Linked DNA regions of Styela clava. The protein of the gene in region 2 purifies or fractionates together with the protein of the main gene of each other region. This does not show direct contact. Links are inferred from orthologs where the notes say so. Each region holds a gene or a part of one and is shown on either strand. Other genes may lie near its edges.

Evidence for each region.
Region 1: the proteins of serine/threonine-protein phosphatase 2A 55 kDa regulatory subunit B delta isoform-like (region 2) and serine/threonine-protein phosphatase 2A catalytic subunit beta isoform purify together in Caenorhabditis elegans (affinity purification with western blotting; 3 studies listed by BioGRID, with this or other methods). This does not show direct contact. The link is inferred for Styela clava from reciprocal best matches to the Caenorhabditis elegans genes sur-6 and let-92.

What each region holds. Positions count from the first base shown.
Region 1 is NC_135256.1:2,854,332-2,863,436, reverse strand, and holds the start of serine/threonine-protein phosphatase 2A catalytic subunit beta isoform, read right to left. Parts: upstream 3,934-9,105; 5' UTR 3,873-3,933; coding exon 2,925-3,872; 3' UTR 1-2,924. Other genes in the region: uncharacterized protein LOC120327840, read right to left, coding at 4,919-7,219.
Region 2 is NC_135258.1:22,217,568-22,225,721, forward strand, and holds the start of serine/threonine-protein phosphatase 2A 55 kDa regulatory subunit B delta isoform-like, read left to right. Parts: upstream 1-4,579; 5' UTR 4,580-4,646; coding exon 4,647-4,773; intron 4,774-5,041; coding exon 5,042-5,137; intron 5,138-5,380; coding exon 5,381-5,478; intron 5,479-6,422; coding exon 6,423-6,588; intron 6,589-8,154. UniProt on the Caenorhabditis elegans protein: Probable regulatory subunit of serine/threonine phosphatase let-92.

The DNA.
Region 1 (9,105 bases), on a different chromosome or scaffold from region 2:
ACTTCAAGAAACAAAATTTCAGACAAAGCATGGTTCTACTAATCTATTTGACACTCGACAAGTGTATGAAATTTAGAGTTCTCAAATCAAAATGAATTGCAGAAGAAATGTATAATGTTAAATTATTCATCATTAGAACAAAACAATCAAATGGTAAAAAATTTGTAGTATTTGTCAGATGAGAAATTAAAATGTGTCCTCAAAAGCAGGGCTATTCAAGGTTTTTGCTGTTACTGTTTATGGTTGTGATATAATCAAATGATATTGTATGTGCATGACATTTTGTTAATCGAAACCATTGTGATAACAACGTCAGGTATAGATGACAACATAGCCAGACAGCTTGTCATAATATTACATCGTTTCATTATTAGGTATTGACATTCAAAATATTATTGAGTAAAGCATAAGGGCTGGCTAGGTTATAGAAACGCCAATCAAAGCGTTATTACATACTATTACATGGTATAAATTGCGCGTTAGAGAGTCTAATTCAATTTTCGGTATTTGGTTTCAATCCAAATTTTAGATTACGGTAGTTTAGCAAAAATTTGTCTTGTTGCTACAAAATGTATTATCTTTTTTTATGACATGCCATACTTATAAAAAGTGCTGTTAGGAAAAACCTAAGAATTTATTCAATTATCAGCTCATGTCATTTTTATAAATCAAACCCTACTGAAAGAATTTTTTTCACATTATTTAAAATCTCTAAAATATCCCTAGTCCGGACCAGAAAATACTTTTTTATGCAAATTAAATTAGTTTAGCTACCTATACCTGTTCAAAATATTTTTCTGCAACTCATCTAGATTATGAGAATATAACATATCATCTACCCACTGAAATACAAATGATGATACAATAAGATATGGATTTTAAGAATTCAAGCTGACCAGCAAACTAAAAATACAGACAATAACAGCATCATAATGCCAAAGATATTTTTGAAAAGGGTATTTTCACTCATAAAACTGTAGTTTCAATCCATGATAATTTTTAAAAATACGAATGCAATGAATTCCATTAATCTGGGGTATGTACACTTTGTTAAACTACCTAAATAGCCATGGCCTTGTCGATAATTGGCATAGAAAATTTGAATTTACTAGAGCAGATGAAACCACTATGTAATATAAAATCAATGATGACAATTTAATTTGAATAAACCACAAGATTACTAGAGCTAATGGTTTAGATCCCAACAGAATTAGGATGAAAAATCTCATTAATAAAAGTACTAGTGATAATCGTTAGAACACGCCCAGGAAAGTATTTGAAACCGTTTAATCTGAACTTCATGTGAAAAATATCAGTGGGGAACATTACATTTTTCCAGATGTAAAAAGAGTTGAAAAGGCTTTGAATTCGGTCAAATATTGAAATATCACTTCATGTAACAATAAAATGAATATTAGAATATTATGTGCATAAATGGGGAACACTACATTTTTCCAGGTGAGAAAAAATGCAAACGCTCTGAATTTTGCCACATATAGCATCGGTTAATAATAACACTTTCTTGAAACTAGCATTGAATAATTTGACAATATGATATGCACAAAATAAGTGTGGAAAGCTGTGGTAAACAAGAATAGTGGAATTGACAGTTTGATAATAGAACAGCAAGGATAATTTGTGGAATTTTTAAATGCTACAATCAATGAAAATTATGCTTTTAAGGTATTCAAGTCTAACAAAATATGAAAAGCCAAAATAAGAAAAAATGATCTATGATATTATTAGAAATTACAGTTATTTAACACACATTTATATCCTCTGTGACAATTTGTTGAATTTGAATGTTGGATTTAATTCAATATTTGTACATGGTACCGTACATGACTAAATTTAGATTCAGATTGAAACATTTCGAAGAAATCATACAGTTTAAAACAGCAAAATATTATGAAAGTTATGCCACAAGAAGTAGAATTGAGTTGCAAGCAAACCAAAAAAAAATGGCATAAAAAAACAATATCACTTATATTTATCAAGCGTTAGAGCTGTCAAAATAGACTTCTCAAACTTAACAAATATGACATCTTGTAAGACGCAAGTGCCTGGTCTTAATAAGCCCATAGTCCTCTATTTGTTAATGGCCACTTGGTTAGCCATGTTCTGAGTTACATTTTAAATTATCCTATTAAATATACGATGAAAAGTAAAAGACAATTAGACCAAACAATGATAAAAATATTAACATCACAAAGCGAGTTATCCATAAACAAAAACTGCAAAATTCTGTTTAAATTATCCCAGCTTTTTCACAGTAAGAAATCCTTGAATATTCTTACTTGAAACCGTGAACGGAACATACATCAGAAACATGGTAAGAACCAAACCTTACTAAAATGTAATTACCGGCATATAGAGGGGATTTTTCGCAACCTGTCAATAATAATGTGGATAGACTAATTGAGAAAGGGCATTCATACTTTAATGGCCTCCTCCATATTGAACTGATGGTTACCGTATAGACAGCACTTTTTGAATGGCCTTTTTCTTAGAGTAGGGATGGTTACATGGCACCAATTAGCATTCAAAGTGTCCATGGAGGGCTATTGGGCTGTTGTATAGACAGAAGGTTAAGAATAAAGACAGATAAAGGGTCTCAATCTGCATTTGAATGACCTCAGAGGGTTATCGGGTTGCCATGTAGATAGCAGGTAACAAAAAGGGATGGATACATAGTCCTAGCAATTTTTGAATGGCCTAATCTGTAGAAAAATTAATTCGGTTTCTATTTAAATAGCAGATTTCATTATAAGTGTTTTTCTAAAAATGTTCCGCTTGGTTTTCAAAACTCAAAGATGATCAAGTCACGACAATAAGTGAAAAACACCAGTAAATATATGATCCAAAGTGGCTTGATAAAACCGATAGTGGAATAATTGAGTTCCAGAAATCTTGAGTGAAAAAAATCACAGGAAATAATCGGGAGTGCGTCTAGTAACATGGGGTTCTCCACGTCTCGGAGCGGGATCAAATTGTAAGAATGAGTAGCGTAGAGCGTCGTCTAATTCCATAAGAGCGGCCTGGTTTCCACATCTGTAGCAGTAGTTAGGAGCGCTGAAAATGGTTACGACGTTGCGATCTTGACTCCAGTTATAACCTTCCATGACAAGTTGGTGAGCACGAGAGATGAGAGTGAGACCATTGTGATGGTTAAACGTTTCCGAGATGTCTTGTCCAAAAGTATATCCAGCACCACGAGGGGAAATACCCCAACCGCTTCGATCATCTGGGTCAGACCATAAAAGGTCACACATCGGTCCTTCGTGTGGTACTTCTTGAAGACGGTCCAAAGCACGAATGTGATCAAGCGTATCAATAGAAGGTGACAGTCCACCATGGAGACAGAAAATTTGTCCGTCGACGAGCGCCGTCAGCGGGAGGTAATCGAAAAGATCAGTGAAATATTTCCAGACATTAGCATTTCCGTATTTTCTTAAACATTCGTCATAAAATCCGTAAACTTGGGTAATTTGTCGAGATTCATGATTTCCACGTAAAATTGTAATACGATGCTGAAATCTGACCTTCAAAGCGACAAGCAAGGTTACAGTTTCAACAGAATAGTAACCTCTATCCACGTAGTCACCCATGAACAAATAATTTGTATCAGGCGAGCGACCACCGATACGGAACAATTCCATCAAATCATGGAATTGTCCATGGACGTCTCCACAGACAGTCACCGGACATTTCACTTCTTGCACATTTGATTCTTTTGCTAAAATCTCCTTGGCCTTGTCGCACAACGTTTTGACGTTGCTTTCCGCTAGTTGCTTGCAGTCGTACAGTTGTTCAATCCATTGTTCCAAATCCTTACTTGTTGGCAGGGCTGACACTGTAGTCTGCTCCTCCATTTTTTTTTCAACAAAAATATTCAAGACTTAAACTTAATTTGTTTACGAGCATAAAGCTAGATCAAAAATAAAATAAGTTAGATCAGAAATGCATTAAAACTGGGAGTAAATTGAATTAAAACTGGAGTACATAGGTAAAGAATGAACATATTAAAACTTCAAATTTGCACAAATTTTGAAGTTTCTCAGCAATGAAATTCAAGAACTCATTCGAACCTATGAATCAGTGGAGCATAAAATGACAGCAATGGTAATGCAATGTTTAAATAAGGATATTCTGGCTATTGAATGAACACAACAAAATCACAAAATTTTAATTCCAAGTTTTGCAACTTGGATAGGATTTTAAGAAAGATAAATTGGTCTAGTTCGGTGTGATTTGACCATGTTCATATCAGAGAAATAAGGCAGAATATAATCAAAACACACTTTGGAACACTAATCTAAATTAAAACGAAAACATGGATATATTTGATGTCACACATTCTCTAAAATGAATGCAGCATAAAAAGAAACAGTCCGAATTCCAGACAGAATATTATTATTCCGACGAGTCGCACTTCATTGATTTTTACTGGTGATAATCATACCAAGATGAACCAGAATGTAGTAAATGCAGTTAATGCAAAAAATAAGATAAACCTCCTATATTCCTGAGGGAACATGCTTTAAGCAAATTTAAAAAAAAATAAAATAAAAGCACACATCAAATTTAGGGCATTACAGTGGTATCATTAACCCCAGGGCTTCTTAACTATCAAAATTTTGGCCGCAAAAACGTCGCTATTGTGAGTGTAAATTATGTTTTGCACCAGTTTTGATAATTGTGTTTCGAATCGAACGCCTAAAAAAGTTTAATAGATAGGCCGATAGCACTTTGTGTGAATTTGGTGTGATCTTTGCAAACCCTAAAATTCGTTGTTCACCCATTCGATTTGAGAAGCCCTGATCTACCCTTTCATTGCTACTCCTGATTTATTCCTAATATAAATAAAGAAATAGGTTCACAGTTGAAAATAATACGTAGCATAACGTAGTTAAACCAACTAATTAAAATGCCTACGAAAACCTCTATCAGGTTTTCCTCGTTCAATAAATTTCCTTTTTTTATTATTCGATCTTTCAAAAGAATGGCCAGGATTATTCGATTTTCGATTTTTACTGTTTGAACGAAAAAATTCATCGTTTTGTAAATTAGGTTCTGGGTTGTAATGTTTGTTTTGAGATTTAGATTCTTTGTAAGATACTTTTCGCTTTGAGCTTCGCATATTTTTAGAAAATTGCACATCATCTTTTGACACTTCATAAGAAACAACCCTTTTGTCAAAAAAGTTTAGAGCTGAAGAACTTGATTCTTGTGGAATTTGCTTTTTGAACGTTCTGTCAAGCTTTTTTCTAGTGGATGAACTTGTTTCTTGTGGGATTTCTTTTTCAAACTTCGTTTTAGATCTTTTATTGCTCTTTTTCCGTAACGCCTTGTCAGCAGGACGTAGCTGATTATGAGCTATTCTCTGCCTTTCAGTGCTCGGTTGACGACTCTCTCGCACTTGAACTTTAACACCATGTCTTCTGGATTTGGAAGGTTGGCGTTCAGGTGAATCAAATATAATATGTTGACGTTCTTTCCGTCTTGCATAGTTATTATTAGACTCTTTCTCCTGTGAGAAGTCACCATGGTTACCACGATTGCCTCCATAAGATCTTTCAAAATGCGAACTTCCTTGAGACTCTGAACTTCTCTTTCCTTTCAATTTCTTTCTTAAATCCTGTGGAACCGTAGAAACAGCTTTTTTATCGTATCGTTGAACGTAAGGCGCTAGCATCGCGTAAAATTGATTTGCTCTCGGAGATTCACATTCATGACCAAAGTGGCCGATCCCTGCGCAATTAAAGCATTGGGGATCACTTTTGAGCGGCACTGGTATAGTTGGGACTTGAATAGGACCAGGTTTTGTAGTTATATGAAACTGTCTCCATAAATCCGGACAATCAATTTGTATATGACCTTCTTGAGAACATCTATTACATACCATGTGTCGCCCCCGGTATCTTAAACCCTCCTTTTGAGGACAGTCACGGCCAACATGACCCCTGTTTCCGCACATGAAGCATGCTGGTCCCTTCTTTTCCACAGTACAGTCTTTCACTTTGTGGCCCACTTCATCACAATTTCTGCATCTTATTCCTGAATTTTTAGAATTACCAACAAAATACCTCCCTGCTCTGCCAGCATTATTATTATTAGTAGTAAATTGCTTGGTATCTTCTATATCTATTTTCCAGCATGACTTTGGGCCTTTTTCTGGAATCCACGCATCGTTTGGTTCTTGTCCCATTTCCATGTCGGGTTCCTCTTGTTTTTCTGAGATGTGAAGGTCTATTCCCCCATCACAGCTATCAGAAGAGCCATCTTCCACACTATCAACTATTTCCCAAGTTTCAGGAACAAAATCGCTTGTTTCCGAATCCAGATGTTCTCGTAAACGAGAAAGATCTTCCTCATTAAAGACTTTGTCATCATTTTTTTCATCAATTTTTTGCAAAGTGGGGGTCGCAGTACCGCTACAAATTCGATCAAGCCCAGAATTACTTTCATCGCCTGAAACTTCATCAGTAACAATAAAATCATTTTCTATGATATAATCGATAGAACTATGTGATGAATTGTCATCTAAAACGGCTTGCTCAACGTTCGGCCTTTCAACGAGCAAATCAGTTTCAAGAGAGTCAGAATCATAGCTGAACTGTTTCGATTCTGAAACAGGATTGTATTCACTTGGAATTGAAGGTTCAATTGTTTCTTCGGCCTCTGTGACATTTAGAATTGGGGTAACATTTATGAGATTATTCTTTGAACTAGGACTGTCCGAGATTTCAATAGAACTGTCGAAATTTTGACCAAACCTTGTATCGCTGTCTTGGGTAGAGAAGGTTGCAGTTTCATCTTGTCTATCGCCACCAAGTGGATTTATTGTCTTAGTTTTATTTTGGTTACGAAAACTCTTAAAGGCATTTTGATCCGCAGAAAAACAAGTTTCTACGATTGGTGTTTCATCTTGTCTATCGCCATCAAGTGGGTTTATTGGCTCAATCCTATTTTGGCTACGAGCATTCTCATTCTGATCCGCAGAAATACCAGATATTTCTACGACACTTACTTCATTATGAAGTGATATGGCATCAGATATAACTTCGTTTTCCGCAGCATAATGAAGTTGGCTGTACAAATGAAATTCTACGTCACTGTCTATTTCGTCAGAATCCGAGAAATCACTACTTTCTTCATCCGATAAAAAATTGTCAACAAAATCATCAAAATTAGAAACAACGGGGAAACGCTTGTTCATATTTCTGACTATGAAATTAGGTACAAACACATTTTGGCTTCTTATTTACATGAGCTAAAATTTTTCAACAATTTTGGTTTGATTAAAATGTCCGTGAAACCTTGTAATGAGGAAAATAACACAAAAGAACTATAGTCCCAAGCAGTCCTACACACAGAAACACTTCAACTGAATACTGTCTGAAGAAAAATGTCTAAAGAAAGGGAAGTGAAGACTATTGTCTGGAGATGGCCGAAAATCTGTAGTTTAAAGCAGGGGTGAACGAATTGCAGCCCGTGGGCCAAATGCGGCCCGCAAAGAAAAATTGTGCAGCCCACAAAGAAGAGCCCAATTTTGAAAAATGTGCCCGCGAAACGAGTTTTTAGTTTAATTAATAATTAATCTGGAGCGTTGCGAAGCATATATACCAGTATCCGAGTGCCACTGCCATATCAGTGAAGCTAGCTAGAAAGATCCTGTTGGAAAATACGCAATGTTATAAAAGAGCGTTTCCCACTGAATTCGTTTAAAGTCGGTGTGACAATAAATTTAAATAGCAGTTTGCTTCAAAATTTTTTGCGATTCAACTCAGGATTTCTGCTAGGACCCCGAACAATGCCGTAAGATCAATTACAAAAAGGAACAACTTTTTGTTCTTGCATAATATAGTAGAAACTCTACCTTCGAATGGCCCTGGATATGAAAAATTAAACTTACGGGAATTATTTTCGTAAAACTTGCCTGGACTAATGTAAGATTTTCCACATCCGAAAACAAAAAATGCGTGTAGTGTAGCGATATTTGCTTATTTTGATGCAGTGCTTGAAGCACGGATGTTCAATTCGAATTTATCATTCCAATATCGCGAACTTCGATTATCGGTTTTCGAGTTTGAAAGGATACAGAATATCGCCGACCCCAACGTTTGGATTTAAAACATTTCACAATTATTTCATTTTTTATCGTAATTGAAGGCAGTCTTATAATGAATAAAATAAAATTTTAAATTTCATGTACTTGTGCTTATTTTCGAACATTACGATCTCCTTCAGATATTAACTTTTAACGCCTCCCCCGACCGCCGTCCTCCCACTCTCCACAGTCTTTGCTTAGTCCAGTCAAATATTATGTCAGAGTTTTGTGGAGGGAAGGATTAATGTCTTTCAGGTAAACAGCGTCCGTACTTACGAAGGGGCTTGGAACAAATTAATTTCGTATAAATTACAGAAACCCATTCGCAAATAGAATTCTTTAGGGTACACACGGTAAGAAGAAATAACAGAAAAATACCGAATGAAAAGTACGAATGTTTTTCGTATCCAGAGAGTTTCTAGGTGCGGCCCGCGGTTTCACCCAGTTACTTGTATTTGGCCCGCCTGTTAAAAAGGTTACATAACCCTGGTTTGAAGTTAGAGCAAGGGTGACCAAGACGTCGATCGACCAAAAAATTGCCTTGAACCAGTTTTGAGCGTGCAGTGTAAAACAGAAGGAGTACAGTACAGTACATGCACAAAATACAATACACATTACTCGCATACAGTATTTGAGACTGGGCAAGCGCGAGAAAGCATGAAAGTTTCGCCGCTGCCGCGATTTGAAAATGAACGTGACAAATATTTTGTTTTTTCCTACAATAACCCCTGCAGTATGCGAAACTTATTGTCTCCAAGATTATTGTGATAAATTTTATTCGCAAAAAGACATTGCAGTACGGCATACTATACAGATCTAGAGACATTGTCTCCTTTCGAAGAATCCCATTTGCCGATGAACAAACACCCCTTCCTTGGGGGATGTCTGGACATTGTTGTCCCTCAATATCGGTAGAAATACAGTAAAATGAAGCTGAGCAAAAAACTGCAAAATAACACAATTTAAAAACGTCATCATTGAATTCTTCTGGAAAA
Region 2 (8,154 bases):
TTGCCAATGAATTTTATTACTCTCAGAAAATATACACGATTATCTGAATACAAGTAGTATTTTTGTCAATAGACTTGGGTATTATCGTAATATCATGGTATGAATGATAAAAAGCGTCAGACAACTCCTTGGCTATCTTTTCATATGGTCATTTGTACTAAGTGTACAATTTTAATAAACTGACTGTGTCACAAGTTGCTATTATTTTTTTTTTTGATAGCTATAAACTATCAATTACTTTGTGTACATATGCTGTTGGTATGTGGCTTTATTCTGATATTTCTATTGGAACTCATTTCCTATTTTACTTGGTTTTAATAAACTACAATAAAAATGTGTTATTTTCGATTTTAGAATGTATTCGGAATTCCAGATTCGAAAACATTATTTTAGAATGTATTCGGAATAGGTTAGTATTCGGAAATGGCCATCCCTGGCCGTGGTTCGTCATATGGTTAAGCCGTCTTATCACTTTCCTCTCCCACGGCATAAATATGTGTAGTAGAAATAATAGTGGTTTTATGTTGCCAATGCAGAAAATTAGTTTAAGGAATTATTGGGAAAAATATCTGGAATATTTAGGTTAGACATTAATTTCAAAATTGATAAATCTCCAAATTTGAAGTCCCCGCGTTCTTTGGGTGATAATGCTGATTCATTGCTTATTTTTAAGGCATACTTTGCTAACTTTAACAGAATACCCCATTGTGCCCCAGGGTCTGTCCGAATGTCCGCCCCACTTGACAAAGGTTTCTGAAAGCATTTTAATGGTAAGATGTGTATCGCGCGCAAGGGAAATTATTTGTCGCTAAAAAAAAACTATATTTACCCCTCTCGGCATTAGCCTCGTGAAGTGAAATGAATGTGAAGAATAGAGGACTCAAAATATGCAAAAGAAGAAAAGTGTCCCAACCTTTCACTACTGTAATCTATATAAGCTACCAGGAACTTGAAATAAATTCGGAATCTGCTTGAATGTTACTATATGACGAGAATGCAATATATGTTTTGTTCGTGTCATTTAGGTAGGTTAATGTTCGGCGTTTTCTGGACACTTCGTTGAGGTTAGCGCTTTTATTTTCGTGAGTGAGATGAACAGGAGTAAGTGTTGTTCGAATTTCATAATTATTTATTTCATGTATGTACATGTTCTACAATTGATATATATATCAAAGATAAGACCACAGCACGTTTTAATTTCATTCAGTAGCTTATTTCCAATCAGCAATACCCCAAACTGACAATTTTACGTACCTATTTAATTTTATTAGTTTGTTGCTATGGCTACGCAATTTATAGTTTAAATGAATGCAAGATGAAGATTAACAAACTACCATCATCGTAGTGCCGTCATCTCAAAAACTGCAGAACTGTTTCCACATATGCATATATAATATATATGATAATTCAAGTTTGATGCCTAATATTGATATATACATGTATTATCTCGCGTCTCCTTCACCCTGACATATGGCCTATTTATAATTTAATTTATTGCAATTTGTATGTTTGTGCCTATTTTAAGTATGGTCAAAAATTAACTACTGATTACTTCTTTAAAGAGTATATCAGTTATCAAACTGCATTTCCATTCGAAGTGGGGTCCAAATTTCTTGCGAAACGGAACTCCGATTTTCACCTCGCGCAGATGCAAGTAATATGCCTGTATGATCAGATGTATTTGACTGAAAACAGCAGAGATGCAGGCTCAGATATATATATGATACTGGGGCCGATTTTGAATGGATTAATTAACTTTGTCGTTGTTACGAAGGCATTTCGTGTTAATATAATGATTCCCAGGCGACGTCTTCATTTTTATAGACTAGTCTTGATTAATACCATGGAAAATCGTAGAAGCCTATTATATACAATACATAAATATTTGTCCTCTTAAGAATAGTGTGTATATACTTAAAATTTATTAATCCGGAAGATCTCGAGATTGTTGAGTAATTTGCGATCTTGTATATATATTTTTATTTAGCCTTTGCAACACTATTGACAAGTTTAATCTAGCGGCAAAGGTAAATTGTTTCGTGAAATTCGTGAAATTTCCTCAATTACACTGTTAAATTAAGGAACGTGCGAGCTTATCAATCAGGGCAAGCAGGGCAAGCATAACGTGCTTTCGATGAGGTTAAAACTGATCATCACAACTGTGAAAACAAGGTTTAAAACGAGTCAAATATAAAAACCTGAAAAAAAAACACAATAAAGGAAGTACTGTAACAAGGTACAGATTTTACTAGTGTAAATGTTGTTTTACGTTCAGTTCACGAGGTACTAAGTACCAACGTATTACAATCCACACACACTGATGCCCGTGCAAGATACATGCCCTTGAAAACAAACTGGCTATCTAATCACATACCCGACATGGACTGGTAATTGGATGCGGGGCCGTGGTTAGCCAAATGATCAAGCCGTTTCATTGGCTTTCCTCTCTTTCAAATGGATTTGCAAATCCTACAATTCAGATTTCAATAAGCAGCAAATAAGTCAGTTTGTAATGTTTCGTTTTTGCATAAATTTTGCTTTCAATTACAAACCGTAGCTGGTCCGAGGCTAGCACTTTATCCCTTTATTATGCCTATCAAGGCGCTGCTACTATTGGAGTGAAAGGGCGTTTTGAGGATGATATTTCATCAAAAAGAATCACCCGGAAAATTACGCCGAATCATTATTAAATAAAGATTTATCAACGAATCAGAGCGAAGAGGATCTTTCAATCGTGATGGCTGGTGTGTAATTAGTACTAATTAGTTGATACACCTTTAATTTATTGACTTGTTTGAGGTACGTTTTCACAGCTTGGAGAGGATCGATAATTTCGAATTTTCACTTCTTAATAAGAATTACTATTCGTATGGCGCGGTAGTTAAAATCGCAGTTACTTATATAATATTATTAATAGTTAACGCAATGTATATCGCATACGGTACCGGTAACGTTACTGATGATTTTATACCGGTACGGTAAAGTAGTAAAGGGTTAAGCTTTATCTATTAGCAATTAACGTAGGCCTACTACTATGCTGATTAGTCTCCGAGTGAATGAGTTGCTATTGTGATAACGTTACTGCTTGGTGGCTGAATATTTGACAGGATTTAAGGTTTATGGGAGCAATAACTGAATAATTTAGCCATTCGTTATCTAATTCCAGAATTCCCACCAGACTAGAAATATATTACATTGACAGATTGGTGTTACTCATGGTGCATGAATATCAATTTGTCATTGGTCTGATTATTTTTCTGCCCCAGTCGTCTTAATTTCTGTGATCTCTGCACCATCTCATAAAACCACCACTGCAACTCTGAGCTAAAAATGCATTCACAATGACAAACACTTTTTATGTCATTGCATAGAAGCCATATGTTCTGTCTGTTCAAGCCACATGGCGAGTGGCGCTGATAATGACGACTAATGCTGTAAATGCTTAATTGTTGTGATTTATTTTCTCTTATCGTAACTTTGAATCGAATATTTTATCGATCTTTTGCATCACAATGCTATAATCACTCATTGCCCCATGCAAAAAATAATGATGTTACGCATATAATGTGTGAAAGATATTATTAGCGTTATTTTTTTTAAATCATTTGTGCAAACCCCATTGTACACAGTCTCATCATAAATAGACTATTATCCAGAATGCATAATATGACCGATCCTATTTTTCAAATGACCGATTCAAATGTCAGTTGTGCATAAATTACAGATAAGGTTTTGGAAAAATACGGATTTGACAGCTTTCATTTAAATTTCAAGGAACTCATTGGCAACAATGATTGTTTTTATCCGTCTCTTGTTTTCGCTTTCATTCATTGCTTGAAACATGCTTTCGTTTCGAATGGTGTGGTACGAAATCGTCATATCGATTGGAACATTTTTCGTTAATTGCCAGTTTCGTTAAATTTGTTTGAAATACATTTGCATCTGAATTTTCTGAAAACAATATTCTGTGGCCATGGTATATAAACTGAGCTAGTTGCAGTTGACATAACTGTTGAAATCTTGTATAACTTTATGCATTAAAAGGTTACACTCAAATCAGTTTTATTTACGAAAAAGTCCAGATATACCCACTTGAAATATTCGTCAAAAGTTAGAGAGCATTTCCACAGTATGGGATTAGTTTTCATTCATATACACCCCTTCATAACGCTTCCCTTTTTCGATTCTTCTTTAAAGATGTGAGCAATCAAATGGTAATAGTTTGCTGTACATAATTGACAGTATGACATGCTACTTGATTGAACAAATTAAATAGGTTTCCTGCTCTAAGTAAAATTTGAGCTTTTTCGATTTCTCAATCTTTGGAAAATTTTGACGAGCGATGGTCTCGCAGTTCAACTGTTAGCATTGCAGATTACAGATCTTGTTTTCAAATCTCAGATTATTTCCCAAATCATAGGTAGCTCATTGCATATCATTAAATATTAGTGACAGCTGGTATAGTGTAGCTTTGTTCCAAGCGAAAGGTGCAAATACTCGTCATAAAAAATATTTATACTCGTGAAACAATAGCCTATATTTTGACTTACACATGATGCCAGTTTTTATATACTGCTTTCTAATAAATATAGCGTAGTTTCCTGGTTAGTCTATCTTTAATATTTTGTTCAGTTTGATCTTTATGTATGGATTATTTATCACTAAGAAGTCGAGTATGTCCTAGGTTTGCTGACACTTCAACATCTAAAGAGACTTTTCCGCTTGCTACGCATTTAGGAATGCGGGATAAAAACAAAAATTACACTGTTCTAGGTAACTTCAAAGAGACCAAACTATGCGCTCTAATATTTTATGGAGATTTTTAAGTCCATATCCTAATAATCATTAATTCAATATAACTGGTTTATTTGTGGATGAAATTGGATATTAATCGACATGGTATAAACAATGGAGTAATTGCAAATTGGTCAATTATGGTAGTAAAGCAGACACACCTGTCACACTATTCCTTGGATATGTTCACCTTTTGCATCTTGCATTGCATGGCCTTTTTGTTAATTTTAATTTTCTTTTATTCTAGCAAGTTCGAGTGGATCTGGAGGAGGGAGCAGTAACAGTGAACTGCAGTGGTTTTTTTCCCAAGTCAAAGGAACGATGGATGAGGATGTCTCTGAGCGTAAGCACGTTTTCCGTTACGAAAAAGCTTAGCATGACATTTGCGATGTTTGAATTCTATAAATTGAATAATGTGGATGAAAATTAATATTTGTTACTGTGACTGTTAATATATAGTAACCTCCCTCGGTTTGACCTCAAATTTGTTATTAATTTCAACTGTGTTTCATGCTATTGTTTTTCTCATGTTGTGTTTCCACCTCATTCTCTGTAAATGTAGTTTAGTTTTATACTTATTTGACAGCTGACATCATCTCCACTGTTGAATTCAACTATGATGGAGAATTATTGGCAACTGGAGACAAAGGAGGTCGTGTCGTGATTTTCCAAAGAGAACCAATGGTATGCTATTTCTATACAATATTTATAATCTTCTTTACATATGTTGTTTTCAGGCAGTCTGCTGAACAACATTCAATCAAAAATATCTTGTTGTACAGGTGCACCAAAAAGGAGTATGAAAAATGCCCTTGCTAAATTTTTTATTCAGGTGTCCTGGTTGATAATAAATAGAAAGAACAGCAATTCTATAGCGCTTTTCCAACAAAATATTGCCTTAATTATCAATACAGAAGTTTCTCACCGATAAAGTGCACACACACTTTAATAAATAATAACTACGGTAATATAGCCAGATACTGCTTTTCTAACTTTCCATCCCTAGCCTGAGCAATAGGTTTCACATCTCCCTGTCTTGAATAAAAAATTAGATCAGAAAACACACACACAGGCCTAATAATTGACATATCTGGATAGTGCGGTTGTTTTGTTCTCAGCTTAAACTGACAGCATTAATAAGACGAATAAGATTGGAATAATTTTTGAAAATTGCAAAAGTGTGTCTAATACTAAAAATAAAACAAAGAAGAAACCTTGTTGTTGTCACACTTCTCTAGCTCTGACAGATATACATACCAGTTTGCTTTGTTCAGTTTGCCATGTGGAGAATAAAAGATTTTACTCATAGCAAATGTGATAGAGAGCATGTTTTGAATCAGTTGAATGCCTACAATTCCATGAAGCAACTATTTACTATTTTTTAGGAAATGATTTCAATGATAGACAACCAGTGCCAAATATTAATTATTCATTTGCATCTAGACAATTTTGTTTTTTGTTATTTTCTGGAAAATAAAAAAATGGCACTGCTAAAATACCCTATCTTTTATCCATGAGCGAATTATGATTATATTCAAGTCTGAAGTTTTTCTTAGTTTTGCTGCAATTTCAATTTTGAATGGCCTATTAAATTTTCCTGCCGTTTCATTCACTCTCTAATATTTCAGACAAAGAATAGCGAAGTGCGTGGGAGTGAATACAATGTTTACAGTACTTTTCAAAGTCATGAACCAGAGTTCGATTATTTAAAAAGTTTAGAAATTGAGGAAAAAATTAATAAAATTCGATGGTTACAACGCAAGAATCCTGCACATTTTCTACTTTCCACGAATGGTATGTTCATTTATTTTTAAATCTGTATTTTGTAATTTTCAAATCAAAAGCAGTAGGCTATGGATATTTTTACAAATGAAAGAAAAACTGGAAATTTACAATCATCCTCTAACGTTGTTCTCCAGTTCCGAACTCCCAAGGAAATCAAATTTTGATAAAAAAAATTTCAGGCAGACTGTCAATTACTATCCTTCACCTTAATTGGTGATTATCACCATTAGAAGTCTGAAAATTCAACTATCAACCTCAGGAAAATGCAAAATTTTTACTTCGGTTTACTATGCTGAATTCTACTTGGTGGATTGAATATTAGAATATAAATAGAAATGTATTTACCACATTAGAAGACTTTTTTGATTCAGCATAATGCACCTTCAATTATAAGTTAATTCTTAATTTATCAGCTCATTTATGCAATAAATTCAAGCTAGAGAAATTTTGATGATTTAATGCACATACCATCTGTTGAGAACTTATTTATTCTATTTTATGTAAATATTATTCCCCTTTGCTGAATTTTTAAATTTAATAAAACTAAAATAAAACTATCTGCAATTTAGTAGCTATTTGTTATCATTGGTTAATGCTGGCATGCTGTGTAACATTTATTTGTTGTTCAACAAATTTTGATGTTTTACTAGGTTAGACATTTCAAAAAATTCTTGAATTTCGAAGTAAACAGGTTTTGTGATCGTGAATACTTTGAATACTAAATGTCGGTTATTCATTAACCCAAAGCCCAAAGAAATCGAAACAGATTTCTTCCAATAGAGAGTGGCCGCTATCAGGCTCGTTAATATTAGGAGCATGAGCACGCATAATCGTTTAGTTACAAAGAGTATGTTCCATTTCTTATAATATTGATTTTGGTATATTTATTTGTACCTTGCAACCATTGCCACTGAAGTGATTCTACTCATAATAATAATATTTATCAGAGTATACCATTTATCATGGAAAATTGAGAACCACAAACCTAGATCGATGGTTCCCACCAAATTTTTCTTGGCGCACCTACAAAGGGTGATTGATCTAATTTTTGGCAAGTCTTGAATACCTCGTCACCAAAAGCAATGGAGTGAGAGTTTCAGACTGACCTAAGTAGTATTTAGTCAAAGTTCACTGGAAAAAAAATTGAGGACCTGCCATTCTGAATTTAATTTCCATTCTTTTTAATGATTTCCATTCTTTCATTAATTAATTTCAATACAGAAATAGCGATTGGTATTTATAAATGTATATCTGATAACAACGTAGAATGTATTTTGGCTTTACCTTCTATTAATAATAAACCTACATTAGAATGAAAAGTTTTGCATGCTGTTACGACCATTTCGAATATTGCTACCGATATTTTAAAATTTGCCTTCTCAAAGCAAAATATGTGTTAAAATTTTACTTTCTGTATGCCTAATAACTTTGACCTAACTTTGTGAGTCATGCTCCATTTCATTGTCATTATTTATATAGAATAACTTCATCATAATAGAGTTATTGTGCTCAGCTCTAATAATTTCTATCTTGACTAGTTTTTTATCTGATGTCATGTCTAAGTGGGTGGGATTC